Schizosaccharomyces pombe: one gene and its partner. The protein of the gene in region 1 binds, or shares a complex with, the protein of each later gene. Each region holds a gene or a part of one and is shown on either strand. Other genes may lie near its edges.

Region 1 (5,593 bases):
GGCTCCTTGTAGATACCCATCTGGCTCTCAGAAGCTAAGACGGCGTCGTTGCTCTTCAAGCCATACTTTTCAAGAGTTGCAGTTTCACCACCAACATAGTAATCCAACAGAGGGTTTTCCAAACCAAACAAGATGTATGAAGACATGATAAATGATTGTAGTAAGGGAAGGGAAAAAGTTAAAGAAAAACCACGAGAAAATACACCAACAGGTAAAGTATCTTAATGTTCAAAGAGCGATATTATGGCATAATTGTAATGCGTTATATTATTAATACTATACTGCGTTAAATATCGATACATGCCATATGGTCTGTTTATCTTTCGCTATATATTGTATGGTAAAGGCATACTATTTTTAATAAACTATTAAAATTTGAGCAGCTAAAAAAATTATCAATATAAGCATAACTGTACAAGCATCCTCAATTTCAGTTATTAGCTATATTGGTGAAAAATATAATACTATGTAACTGAAGATTGACAGTGTATGTTACTTATTGTACCTGTATACTGGAATTCTAGGTCACAACTAATACTCATCGCAATTTTAACCTTCATTAAACTGATTGCAAACTGCATAATTAAACGATATAAACTGTATCACACTCCTTTGCGCCTCGGTATATTATAATCACAATACTTATTTAAGAAGGCCGATCACGAGAAAAATTAGAACTAATAAAGATTAAAAGAGTCGATATTTGATGCTATATACAATTGGTCATGAATATTAACTCCATTCCTGTATTATTTTTTTAACAAAGGGGTTGCTTCAACTTTTAGCGGAAAACTTATCAAAGTGTGGAAGAAATAATAAACTAAGATAAATGATGATCGAGTTGCACTGCGTCAGGGTAGCCGGTTGTCAAAATTTTCAATATACGAATAAAGAAATAAAAACAAAAATAGAGTGAAAAAAAAATAGATATCGGCATCATGCTAAACGTGGAGACGATGATCCGCCGTTTTTTAGGATAAATTTAGGATATGACAGGAGATTACAACTAAAGAACTTTTGGTGCTTCTTCAAATATCCTGAATAAAAAAGGTCGTTAATCTTCACCTTGAACATTCGCTTTCTTTTCCATAATAGCGCTAACAATATCTATGGATAGTAGCTGTAGGTTTAAATCGTTGATCAATTGCTCTGGGGCTGTAGAATCACTTTCCCATACTAATAAGATTAGAATTTCTTGCAAACGCTCAAAGCTATGTCGGAGATTAGCTTGATCATTGGAAAAGATAGTAATTAAGCTAGAAATGTCGTTTTCTAATGCCATAGCACCATAATCATTCCACTGAATCTTATATAGTATGAGGTTTTCTATATAACTTGCAGCTTTCTCGCATGCCATAGAGCGTAAAGAAAGCTGATTTTCAGGAGTAAATTGCTCCAGCAACAAAACCCTGTCCCAAACGCTGCGAAGACGGGTAACTACCAGTCTTTCATGTTCTGTCTCCTTCGTATAGTCTTCATAGGACAAGACATAGTTGATTCCATCAAAGGAATCATCGATGCATTGCTCAATTCGGGGTAATAAAAATATCGGAAAGTACATGTTGAAAGAAGTCTTGCAAAGATTTTCAAAATTAACGGTTAGCTGCAAAAAATTATCAATCGATTTCTTTACCAATTTTTGGTCTTTGGCAAAGGCAAAAACTTCTTCCAACCGACTAGAAACACCATCCACAATTGATTTTAGATATTGCTTGCTGAGTGAAGCACTATTTACCAATGTTATGTAGTTTTCGACTTGTTTGGCGGGAATGCTATTTGCATTCTTTAGCCTCTGGAACTGAGCTTTTATAATGTTACAGACAGTTAAAAGATTATGGGAAAGGTAGACATAGTAATCATTTCTTAAAATAGGGATTAAGCTTTCGTTAACAAATCTGGTGAAGAATAAAGAGGAGACTGTAAAAAACGCACGTTGGAATACTTGCTTCGTAACGTACATGACATCGTCTACAATAGAGCTCATCCATGGGGAAACCTTTGTGTAATATTCCTCAAGTTCCAAAGACGTTTCTATACTTCTCCTGAAATAGTATGTTTCTAATTGTAATAAGGATGGAAGAAGTTGCTTTTTTAACAGAAGTTCCATCTTTGAAGAATTGAAAATAGATGCACAAATAAGATTGTCCTGGACAGATGGATCATTCGAAGTACCATCAGATTGGGACAATCGAAGGACAAGACGGCTAATAAATATTTTTGAGATATTCCATTTGGAGACAATGGCTGACATTTCATTCAAAATCGGATGTAGCGTTTGAAGAGAGACCCTTTCTAATTCCTTTTGATCCGAAACAAAGGCACGATTTTTCAACTTCGCATGTAACAAAATGTATTTGTAAGAAGCTATAGAGCTTACGAGGTTATCAATTCTTCTCACGTCAAACATGGTATTCACGATAATGGAACCTTGGCGATCACAATCACCTTGCAATTTTTCAATAACGGTGATGGTGTTTTTGGCCTTGTAATATTTTTGAACAAGAGGCGTATGTGCGCGTATGATAGAAGCAACATGCTCGACCAGTCCGGTAAATGCCTGTGCAAAAAAAAGAGCATGAGTAGGGGGCTCATCGAGAGTGGCCCTAGCTTTAGAAGCAATAATTCCACCAAAAAAATGCCAATAAGCTTCTAATCCTTCCTTTTCTTTGCCGATCAAAGGGAAGAGTTTGAAGTAACGAGTGATTTCTTTTTGATCCTGATTTCGGGCGGCCTTATGGAATTCCCGCCAAAAGAGAGTGTGTAGAGATTCGGTGATTTCTTTTAAGGTGTCCATGGGCGCTAAAGGTTGCTCAGCTGTGGGAACAACGGCATGTGCAAATTTCCCTTCGATGATAGCCGGCGATGTGGAGCTTGCTCGATGTACTAAATCAGCTGCTTTTTCCCATTGTTGGTGATGCATAGCTCTGTTGAGATCCTGCAAACATTCTTTGAAATCTCGGACTTGACGAACAAATAAAAGACACTCTTTTATACGATTCTGTTCTCTATCGACCGATTTGATTCTCTCAATGACCTCCTCGCTAACGATAGTGGTATTGCAAAAAGCATCTTTAAGCTCTTCAATCTGACCTACAAACAGCACTAGACGTTCTGCCATATTCTTGATTAAAGAATTGAACTTCTCAGTCGGCTGTGCATCGCTTAGCAGCCTTTCCAGCTTTTCGTCGGTTCGTTGGGATTCGACTTGTAAGTCATGAAACCGTTGTTTAATTTGCGAGATATCAGTGCAGTCATTGATGGATATGTCCATTGTACACTCATTAAATAAAGAAAGACTAAAACGCGTTCGCAAATTATCTCAAAAAATCTACGAGGTTGTGAATATTAACCGCGCAAAATAACAATTAAAAAACTCAAAGTAAGAGTGAAAGAAACCAAAGTAAGGGTTGTCGTCAGTTGATTTTCGAATTAATTAATTTTTAAATAAATTAGTAAACCTTGCAACGTCTCCCATTCAACTTGCCAAATGCCGCACAATTGACTCCTACTAAAAAAAGAGTTACTGAGTGCATTGCAAATGGTCAACTTTACGATATCATACTATTCCAGTAACTAATAATTAACGAGACGATAAATATCATTATTTGACAGAACGCAACATCGCAGACTCTAATAGCGAGAGTTCGCTGTTGTTCTTTAAATGTTTGATGTGAGGCAGGAAATATAGGAGAGTATATTTTGTTGTGCAATCATTCATTCTTATAGTACAACTGTAATAAAAAGTCATGGAAGAGCAATTTCCAAAAGCTGTATTTTAAAAATTTACGGTTTTCTGCTACGCCTCGTTGTTAAATACAAATCCATGTTTTTCGAAATTTCAGCATATTTGTCACCAATGTGATGGCCAAACAACAACTCACAAAGAAGGTAGTCTATGTTAAACATCTCAGTTCTACCTAAAACATACTCATGTATACCCCCTTCTAAGAATTGCTTCTCTTTTTCTTTATTTATTTATTTTCACCTTGAATCCTTTACTCGATTTCCCACTGCTGTACCAATATTCCTCTCCTCGTCCAAACAACTAGATCTTTATGGAAGTTACTACTGGGAAGCGAATATTACTAAGACATTACAAAAATGTGTGTACTATTTTACGGTCGAATTGGTCGACACAAAGAAATGGTAAAACGCGACCGACCTACTAATTAATTCTAAAAAAAATCATCAAATTAACAATTGGTATTTGTTTGATCATAACGATGTATATGAAATGTCATAAAGTACTTGAGTGTAGAAACGCATGCGTGCGACGAGTGACGAGCTCAACTATAAGCAATTGATATGGAGGCGAAACTTTCTGTAAGGAGAGAAATCTAATCCTTCTTCATAGTATGCATCTCTTGGTCAGGCTCAAAATGTTGAATTTCAGGATGAGCAGACAAAGCATCTACTGCATTCTCAGGAAGAGAAACGCTGAATCCCTTAAATACGGTATCATAAGTATGACCAATTTTAGCACCAGATGCCTCTAAATCAGATTTTATTTTATCCATCGATGCAGGATCAACAGAATCTTTCAATTGAACGATATACGACTTTTGACTCATGGCGAAATAACGAAGGCGAAAAAAACAAGGAAAGTAGCGTTTCAGATTTTTTAGCTGTACTTAAAATTCACTTAATTGTCAAAAAATGAACAAGCTTATGTAGTACAGATAAGAAGGAATTGAGCGCAAAGGGGAAAAGGCTGGTTTATATAGCATTCGCCATGTGCATTACGTAGGTCAGCTTATCTAAATAGAACGGTTGTGCACATTGCTTGCTTAGCCAATTTATTAGCTCTTTCTCTTTCAGTATACTTTTTAACGAAAGTCAAAAGAACTTTGGTAAAATAAATAACAAAATATATATTACATTTTCGTATTGTACATTGAGAAGGCTATTGCATTTGCATATAGGGACACAATATTCCTCATTATTCCTTTTTTTCACGCAGTGTAGACAACGCGGTCTGGAAAAGACATACATCCATTGGAATTGAGTTGTATTTTTGGGATAGGCGGTTGAGTGAGAATGAAATTGAGAAATTAGATGCTTTAATAACCAGTGCTTTTAAATTGCTTCTTGCTTTTTGATCAACACCGTGATTTCACTCCTGCGAGGTACATGTTACCTAGCTTTGATCTAATTTGAAAAGTTGGACTCATGGATGGTAAAGAGAGAAATTTCGTTTTATCCATACTTAATCATAGTATGTCTCTCACGCATACTCTCACATAGGTAGTTAATTGGGATTCTCATTTGTTTAAAATTTAGCTGGTTTGCAAAGGAAAACAGGTTGACTCCTGTCTTTTTTGGGTCTTTGGGATTTCTTTTGTTTTTGCTTTTTCGTCTCTGGTTTTGGGTATTTTAAAAAAATCACAATGATTTTAGAAGACACGGATCTACCTTTAAGTCACGAACAGCCTTCTTACTCTCAAATTAAAGATGTTTTGGACAAAATTCCTACTGGGGAGCACTTGTGGGACCTTCCTAAGTATGAGGAGAAAATAATCCTCAATTGGCTTATCAAGCTCTTAGCTACAAATTTGGAATGGATCACAGTTGAAGAGGAACGAGACTATTTGGT
Region 2 (7,507 bases), on another chromosome or scaffold:
TTCCTCCTAACGTATTTCTCTTTATGGACTAAATGAAGGTTAGCTGTCGCGTTATAAAGGCAAGATAATCAACTTACATATAACAGCTTCTCGGTTTCTTCGGGGAAGTATTGCATGCTTTCTAAGATTTCACGAATTCCTTCGAGAACGACTGGGAAGAAATCTAGAAGTCTTTTCTTAATGCCATTTTTTTCATTAAAATCGTTGACCATTTTAGTATTTTTAATTGTACATGTATAAGAACCAGCTTGGTATAAGACTGAGAACTAGCACAGGTCTTCTATGAGAAAATATTATTTAAAATGACAAATAACCACAATTCTTGAATATAAAATTTGCAAATTACGCGTGAAAGCGCGTTACAAATTTATCTCGTTTTTAAGAATCAAGTATATCGATCAAAAACACTATACTTATTTGAAACATCTATTTGGTCCTAAATTTTCAAGACAATTAGGATGTTTATCTAATGCTTAAAGTTTAGTAGAAATATAGATTTAGGACTCCTTTGGTGGTGAGGGCAAACCATATTGCCTTCGCGCTCGCAACGCAAAATTGAGGATTACTGGCGTTCATGATGCTTCACCAGCAATAGCACACACACCATGAAAAATTTGGTAACACACCTGCATCATGTTTTTCCAAATGTAAATGGCTCAATTAAAGCCTTGGCTTTTAACAGTATAAGTGATAAAATTTACGTGGTTTGTGGTTTGGATAATGAGAATCCTGGGATCGAGATATATGAAATATCTGAAAATGACGATGTCTCAAAATTAGTTGAATTTGATTCTCCCTCTTTCGTTTCAGATAATGGGGACATTGATGAGATTCAAAGCATGCAGTTTCTTGGAGAACCCATGGCTATATGTTTATCATTGAAAGGAGGTGACATTGTGATGGTAAAAGTAGACCCATCGCCTGAGGAAGCGCCTTGGGAAATAATTGGCAATGTTGAGAATGGCATTGTTGCTTCATGTTGGTCAACTGATGAACAGGTTTTTTGTATCATAACGGGTGGAGATACTATTTTGTTTATGACTAAAAATTTTGATATCATTTCAGAAACTTCTCTATCTGATGCGGATTTGAATGAATTTAATAAGCATATTTCTGTTGGTTGGGGTCGTTCTGAAACCCAGTTTCGAGGAAAACGAGTTCGTGCTAAATTACGAGATCCTACGCTTCCTGAGAAAATAGATGAGGGTAAACTTTCTGATGTTGACGATGGCAAAACTTATATTTGCTGGCGTGGTGATAGTCAGTATGTTTCTATAAACCGTCTGGAAAAGGGACCACGTCGTGCTATTCGTGTTTATTCTCGTGAAGGTTTGTTGGATAGTATTAGTGAGCCACAAGATGGGCAACAAAGTTTGCTTTCATGGAAACCATCTGGATCCGTTTTAGCAACAATTAAGTCAGATAGTTCCGATAATTCCTCTAAAGTCATCTTTTTTGAACGCAATGGACTCCGTCATGGAGAATTTTCGTTACGTCGAAGGGAAGACGAAAAGTATACTGGATTGGCTTGGAATGTTTCATCATCAATTCTGGCCGTTTCGACCGAAAATTCAGTGATGCTTTGGACAACCGGTAATTATCATTGGTATTTAAAGAAAGAAATCAACATTCCTCAAAATGCATTAATTAGTTGGCATCCAGAGCATGCCAATACGCTTTACATAACTGGAAAAAATCACATAGAAAAAGTGGTTTTTGACCTCAAATATGTAACAGAATTTTCTACTTCTCCAAACGATTTTGGCCTCATACCTGTCATCGATGGCTCTTCGCTGTTGGTCACACCGTTGTCTTTGTGTAATATTCCCCCTCCTATGTGTCGTTATAAATTGTCTTTAGACTATAATGTACAAATGACTTCGATAAACGCAACATCTGACATGCTTTTTGCTGCTGATGATAGGCGCTTGACGGCGTTTACTTTTAACTCACAAGAAGATATTGCTAAATTTGGAGAATTCGATATCTCGACGTATGCTGAAGGTCTGAATTTTAAAAGTCTTCTTGGTTTATCAGGAAATCAGGTTCTGTTGTTGGCAGATGGCACAAATAACTGTTCAAAGTTTTTTGTTTTTCAATGTGACGAAGACAATGAGTCCTTGAAACTTTTGGCTTCCGAAAGTTTCGAAAGTTGCATACTTAATGCCTCCTACTGTTCGGAAATGCTATTTTTTCAAACTTCAAGTGGAAAACTTATAAGTTACAATTTGAATGTAAAATCAATTGAATCCATTTCTTTGTCGTTTCCCAAACCCTGTTCTGATTTTGTTGTAGTTCCTGTCCATGAAACCTTTGTTCCTATAGGTCTCACTTCGTATGGCAGGTTGTATGCTGAGCAAAGACTATTGAGCACAGGCGTCTTATCGTTTTTCTGCACCGAAAGATTTGTATTATTTACAACAACTAAAAATCTACTTAAATTTGTACACTTGGTTTCTACCGTTGATGATCTGCAAGTTGTAGAAGACGATGCTGTGGATCGACACGATGAGCGATGCCGCGTGGTTGAAAGAGGGTCGAAAATTGTTGCCAGTATGCCTTCGAAAATGGCAGTGGTTTTACAAATGCCTAGAGGAAATTTAGAAACCATTTACCCTAGAATTATGGTTCTTGACGGAGTACGTACGTATATTAAAGCTTTAAAATACGGTGATGCTTTCAAGGTTTGCCGCACTCATCGTCTTGATTTAAATATACTATTTGATTATGACCCAGATTTATTTTTGAAAAATATTCCTGTTTTTGTAGATGGGCTGTACCGTGTCGATTATTTAGACTTGTTTCTCACTTCTTTAAAGCCTGAAAACGTTACTACAGGGATGTACAGTGATACATCCAAGTCACAGTCTCAGCAATCTGTCACTACCATTGACAATAAAGTTAATTTATTGTGCAAGATTATTCGCGAACATCTGACTTCAAAATACGGTGATACACATTTTCAAGCAATAATTACTTCCTATCTTTGCGAAAGCCCTCCAAAAATTGAAGCAGCTTTAGGCATGATATCTGGACTAATTAAGGCTCAGTCTGAAACCGTAGATCTGGCAATCGAGCACATGTGCTTCTTGGTCGACGTCAATATGTTATTTGATCATGCATTAGGGCTGTATGATCTAAAATTAGCCCTTTTAATTGCCCAGCAGTCTCAAAAAGATCCTCGTGAATATGTCCCATTTTTACATGAATTTCAAAAACAGGAATCACTTCGCAGGAAGTTTAATATAGATTGTTATCTGAAGCGGTATGAGCGAGCACTAGGACATCTAAAGGAAATGGAAAATGCGTTTGATGAATTCAAAAACTTTACTATTCAACATAAGCTGTACCCTCGAGCATTAGAGTTATACAAGTATGACAAGGAAGCTCAAAAGGAGGTTTTAATTATATTTGCACAATACCTTCGAGAAAATGGTAAATCAAACGAAGCTGCAATTGCTTATGAATCTGTTGGAAAGATCAGTGAAGCCATCGAGGCGTATAAAAGCGCCGGAATGTGGAGGGAATGCTTGTCCATTTTACAGCAGACTACAAATTCAGAAGATTTAATCCGGGAAACTGCTGAAGATTTGGCTAGCTTGTGTATTGAGAAACGGGAACATTGTGATGCAGGTAGCATCAACTTACTATACCTTTCGAATCCAAGAGAGGCAGTCATTCAAATGTGCAAAGGTTCACAATATTCTGAAGCGATTCGGATTGCTCGCGCCACCGGTGATTCATCTATATATAAGGACTTACTAATTTCCGTTCTTGGGGAGTCATTTGGTGAAGCTAGTGAATTGGTTGCCGACTTTAGAAACCAAATCAAGTCACAAACCGAAAGAATATTAGTGCTTAGAGAGAAGAAAAAAGAAGATCCTATTAGTTGGATGGAGGGGACTATGGAGGACCAAACGCCTGATGACATCTCACTAGCATCTACAAGTCTCTCAACAAACAGGTCTTTATATACGCAATACACCAAGAGTAGCAACTCGTCTAAAATGACAAGAAACACGTCAAAGAACAACCGACGTTTAGAGAGAAAACGCGCGAGAGGAAAAAAGGGAACAGTATTCGAAGAAGAGTACCTTGTCAATTCCTTACGGAGGTTGATCGCTCGTGTTGAAGAAATTCGACCTGAGGTGCATCGTTTGCTCGAAGCACTAGTACGCTGTAATATGACCACCCAGGCTTCAGAACTTCAACGTAATTTTGCAAATGTTATAGGTACTATTGGTGAGAAAGTTATTCCCATTCTTTCTGTTCCTGTTAGCACCTTTGAGACTGCTCTTGGAGAACAACCACAAGCACCGGTTGTTCCAAACGTTAAACCTTTTGAAAAATTGAGTATTTTAATATAGGGTTAGGATTGGTTTTGGATAAATGGGGAAATTTTTTCATTTACATATAGATTTACATTTAGTATATCTTCAATATTTATACAAAAGCTTAGATACGTAAATCCTGGAACAAAATAGTTAAGCAGAAACTGTTAAACACTAATGCTTAATGTAGTTAATTAGAGTAGGTGAAATAGATTGTACCCATGGATGATCTTTATATGTATCACATAAACGTTGAGCATTGTTAAGACTTTCAAGCCAAAGTGGATGTGATGAATCATTACTTTTGAGGAATTTTAATATTTGGTCAAGTAAAAGCAAATTAGAAGCAATTAGCTAGATGTATTAGCATAATGACCAACTTATTTGGGACTTGCGTTATTTTACCTTTTCGTTTTCAACGTCTTGTTTGTGCTTCAAATTATTTTGAATTTCAGTTGAATGCCCGATTAAGGATTGCTTCGAATTCTTTAAGCGAACTGTTAGTAGACTGAAACTAAAAATATAGTGTTTGTAGTTATTTGTATTACCTTTAATTGCTCTTCTGAACGATGTATTGAAGAAATCAGGGTACTAACTTTAGTATTTCCGCTCTTCATTCTGCTTCCAAGGTGAACAAAATCTTGGTAGTTATCTTTTACTAGTAGCATTAATTCATTATTGACCTGCTCAAACAGTCGACTTAATTCATTTACTAAACCATCAAGACCTAAAAATCTTTTGGAAACAAGAAATTCATCGGGTGAAAACGGTCCATCTTTACGAAGTTCTTCTGTGTTTAAATAAGCATCCGATAAAAACGCGTCAACCAAGTCAGAACCACTATCTGCGTCTTTTTCAGTCATGGTAAATAAGGAAAATGCACGATCGTTAATGTAGAACTTTGAAGTACAAATCTACTACCATCTCTAGTAAATCATGGAAGATGAATTTCGATTAGTAGAACAGCACGATGATGGACTAATATGCAAACAACGATGGATATATAGTAAATGATTATGTTGTTAGACACTACATGCATGTTGATTTAGTGCAACTCAACGTATTACTCTAGCGAAGCAATTGCAGCATAAATTCTTCTAAACACCAGTAAATTAAGTTAAAACTTTACAAATGTCAGAAAGCGTGCTCGAGACTGAAAGGTACGCGCACGAAGAGCTAGAAAGGCTGCAACAAGCTATTGTTGATAGACAAGTTGCCAACCCTAAGGCTCCTCGTGAACGGCTTCGGCTTGAGCATCAGAGTGCACAATTTCTTAACCAATTTCGCGAAACTAGCAAAAAGTTGTTAGTTTCCCATGAATCCTCTGATCGGTAAGTAAAATCAAGAAAATTGTAGTATTGACCGCTAACTTGAATTCGCTAGATTAAAGGATCAAGAAGTTGCGCGTATCAATGCAGACGATGATTTAACAGAGTTTTATAAATCGCTGGGAGAGATCCAAGAGTTTCACAAAAAATATCCTGATCATAAAGTTGAGGATCTGAGTCAATTATATTCCATAAAGCCTTCTCAACCCGGGATTGACGAGATTGACACGTTATTTCGAGGTGAAGAGATGTATGGTCGATTTATGGATCTTAACGAATGTTACGAAGAATATATAAACTTAAGCAATGTACAGCATATTTCTTACTTAGAATATTTGAAAAATTTGGAGGATTTTGATCAAATCCCCAAGCCTGAAAAAAATCAAACATATATCAACTATATAACTCATTTATACGAATACTTGGTGTCCTTTTATCGCCGGACACACCCTCTGTCAAACTTGGATAAGATTATTGCGGTTTTTGATACTGAATTCGACGCAGCATGGGAAGCTGGACTTCCTGGTTGGTATTCACACAACGCTGAAGCCGAAAAAGATGGGAAAGACTCGACGGAAGCATTTTATTGTGAAGTTTGTCAAAAGTTTTTTGGGAAGATCACTGTATTTGAAGCTCACAAAAAGAGCAAAGCACATAATAAGGCCGTTAAGAGGATGCAGTCTTCTAGTCCATCTACCACAAGTAATACGAACGAGAAGCAAAAAGGACCTAAAGCGATTGCCCGTATCGAGTTTTTAATAAAAAAGTTAACGTCTTTGCTTGACGATGTTCGAAAGGATACTCGTGAAAATGTTGTTCGTCGACAAACTTTGACGGCTGCAGAACGTTTGGCAGAAGTAGAGGCTGCGGAAAGAGAAGCCTTTGAACAATCGACTCCAAGCGTAAGTGTTGAGGGAAATCAGGATGAGGAAAGTGATCAGGATGATGAGGAAAAGATATATAACCCTTTGAAGCTGCCATTGGGATGGGATGGTAAACCTATTCCATTCTGGCTTTGGAAACTCCATGGCCTTGGTAAAGAGTTTCCCTGTGAAATTTGTGGAAATTACGTGTATATGGGTAGAAAGGCATTTGATAAACACTTTACTGAACAAAGGCACATATACGGGTTAAAATGTTTAGGAATATCACCTTCACCTTTATTCAATCAGATTACTTCTATTGATGAAGCTTTGCAACGTAAGAAAAAAATGATTGTATTTGGTGAGTTTATGTTACTAACGAAAATTTTTAGTTTGGCAAAAGTACAAGGTGGACTCAAAGAAGCGGGAAACCACAATGGCGTCTCTCAATGAAATGGAAGATGACGAAGGTAATGTGATGTCTGAAAAGGTTTACAACGATTTAAAGGCCCAAGGTTTATTATAAATAACGTACATGACTCAATTTTTGTAGTCGTGTAAGTGTACATTAAAGAAATAAAAAATTGATATTTTCTTCCTACTTGAGTTATAAAATGCTGAGCATGCTCCTTTATTCTTCTTTGCGTTACATACCGAAGCAAACGAAAAGAGAAAACATGAAAGCTAAAAGGCATACTATTTTGAATTCTCGTGACACAGCATGTTTTGATCTTTTATTTCCCCCCTTTCTTTTTGATTGCGAAATTTTTGATAGTTTCTCATAGCACTGCTCAACGATAGATCTCCTCCCGGCATTTTGACGATCTAAGGCCCAGTTGGGTTTGATTGAAATTCTAGAGTTCTGTTATCTTTTACGTATACGCTTCTACGGGCTAGTTAGTGTTTGATGTAGCAAATGCTATAATTTTCTCAAGCATAATAAAACAATGAGTCTTGTGCATTATCACCGTATTAAAAAAAAAAA

Evidence for each region.
Region 2: cog4 (region 1) and cog2 share a complex: the UniProt entries of both Schizosaccharomyces pombe proteins name them as parts of the conserved oligomeric Golgi complex.

The regions. Positions count from the first base shown.
Region 1 is NC_003421.2:1,350,939-1,356,531, forward strand, and holds cog4 (COG complex subunit Cog4), read right to left. Parts: upstream 3,508-5,593; 5' UTR 3,272-3,507; coding exon 1,055-3,271; 3' UTR 536-1,054; downstream 1-535. Other genes in the region: ado1 (adenosine kinase), read right to left, coding at 1-146; proteinase B inhibitor Pbi2, read right to left, coding at 4,338-4,571; efm2 (methyltransferase Rrg1), read left to right, coding at 5,388-5,593. UniProt on the Schizosaccharomyces pombe protein: Component of the peripheral membrane COG complex that is involved in intra-Golgi protein trafficking. COG is located at the cis-Golgi, and regulates tethering of retrograde intra-Golgi vesicles and possibly a number of other membrane trafficking events.
Region 2 is NC_003423.3:853,026-860,532, forward strand, and holds cog2 (COG complex subunit Cog2), read right to left. Parts: upstream 5,304-7,507; 5' UTR 5,195-5,303; coding exon 4,880-5,194; intron 4,818-4,879; coding exon 4,737-4,817; intron 4,686-4,736; coding exon 4,506-4,685; 3' UTR 4,368-4,505; coding exon of another isoform or gene 606-4,367; 3' UTR 501-605; downstream 1-500. Other genes in the region: spo9 (ER farnesyl pyrophosphate synthetase Erg20), read right to left, coding at 1-28, 78-212; elp1 (elongator subunit Iki3), read left to right, coding at 606-4,367; U2 snRNP-associated protein sap61, read left to right, coding at 5,463-5,662, 5,715-6,859, 6,915-7,048. UniProt on the Schizosaccharomyces pombe protein: Required for normal Golgi morphology and function.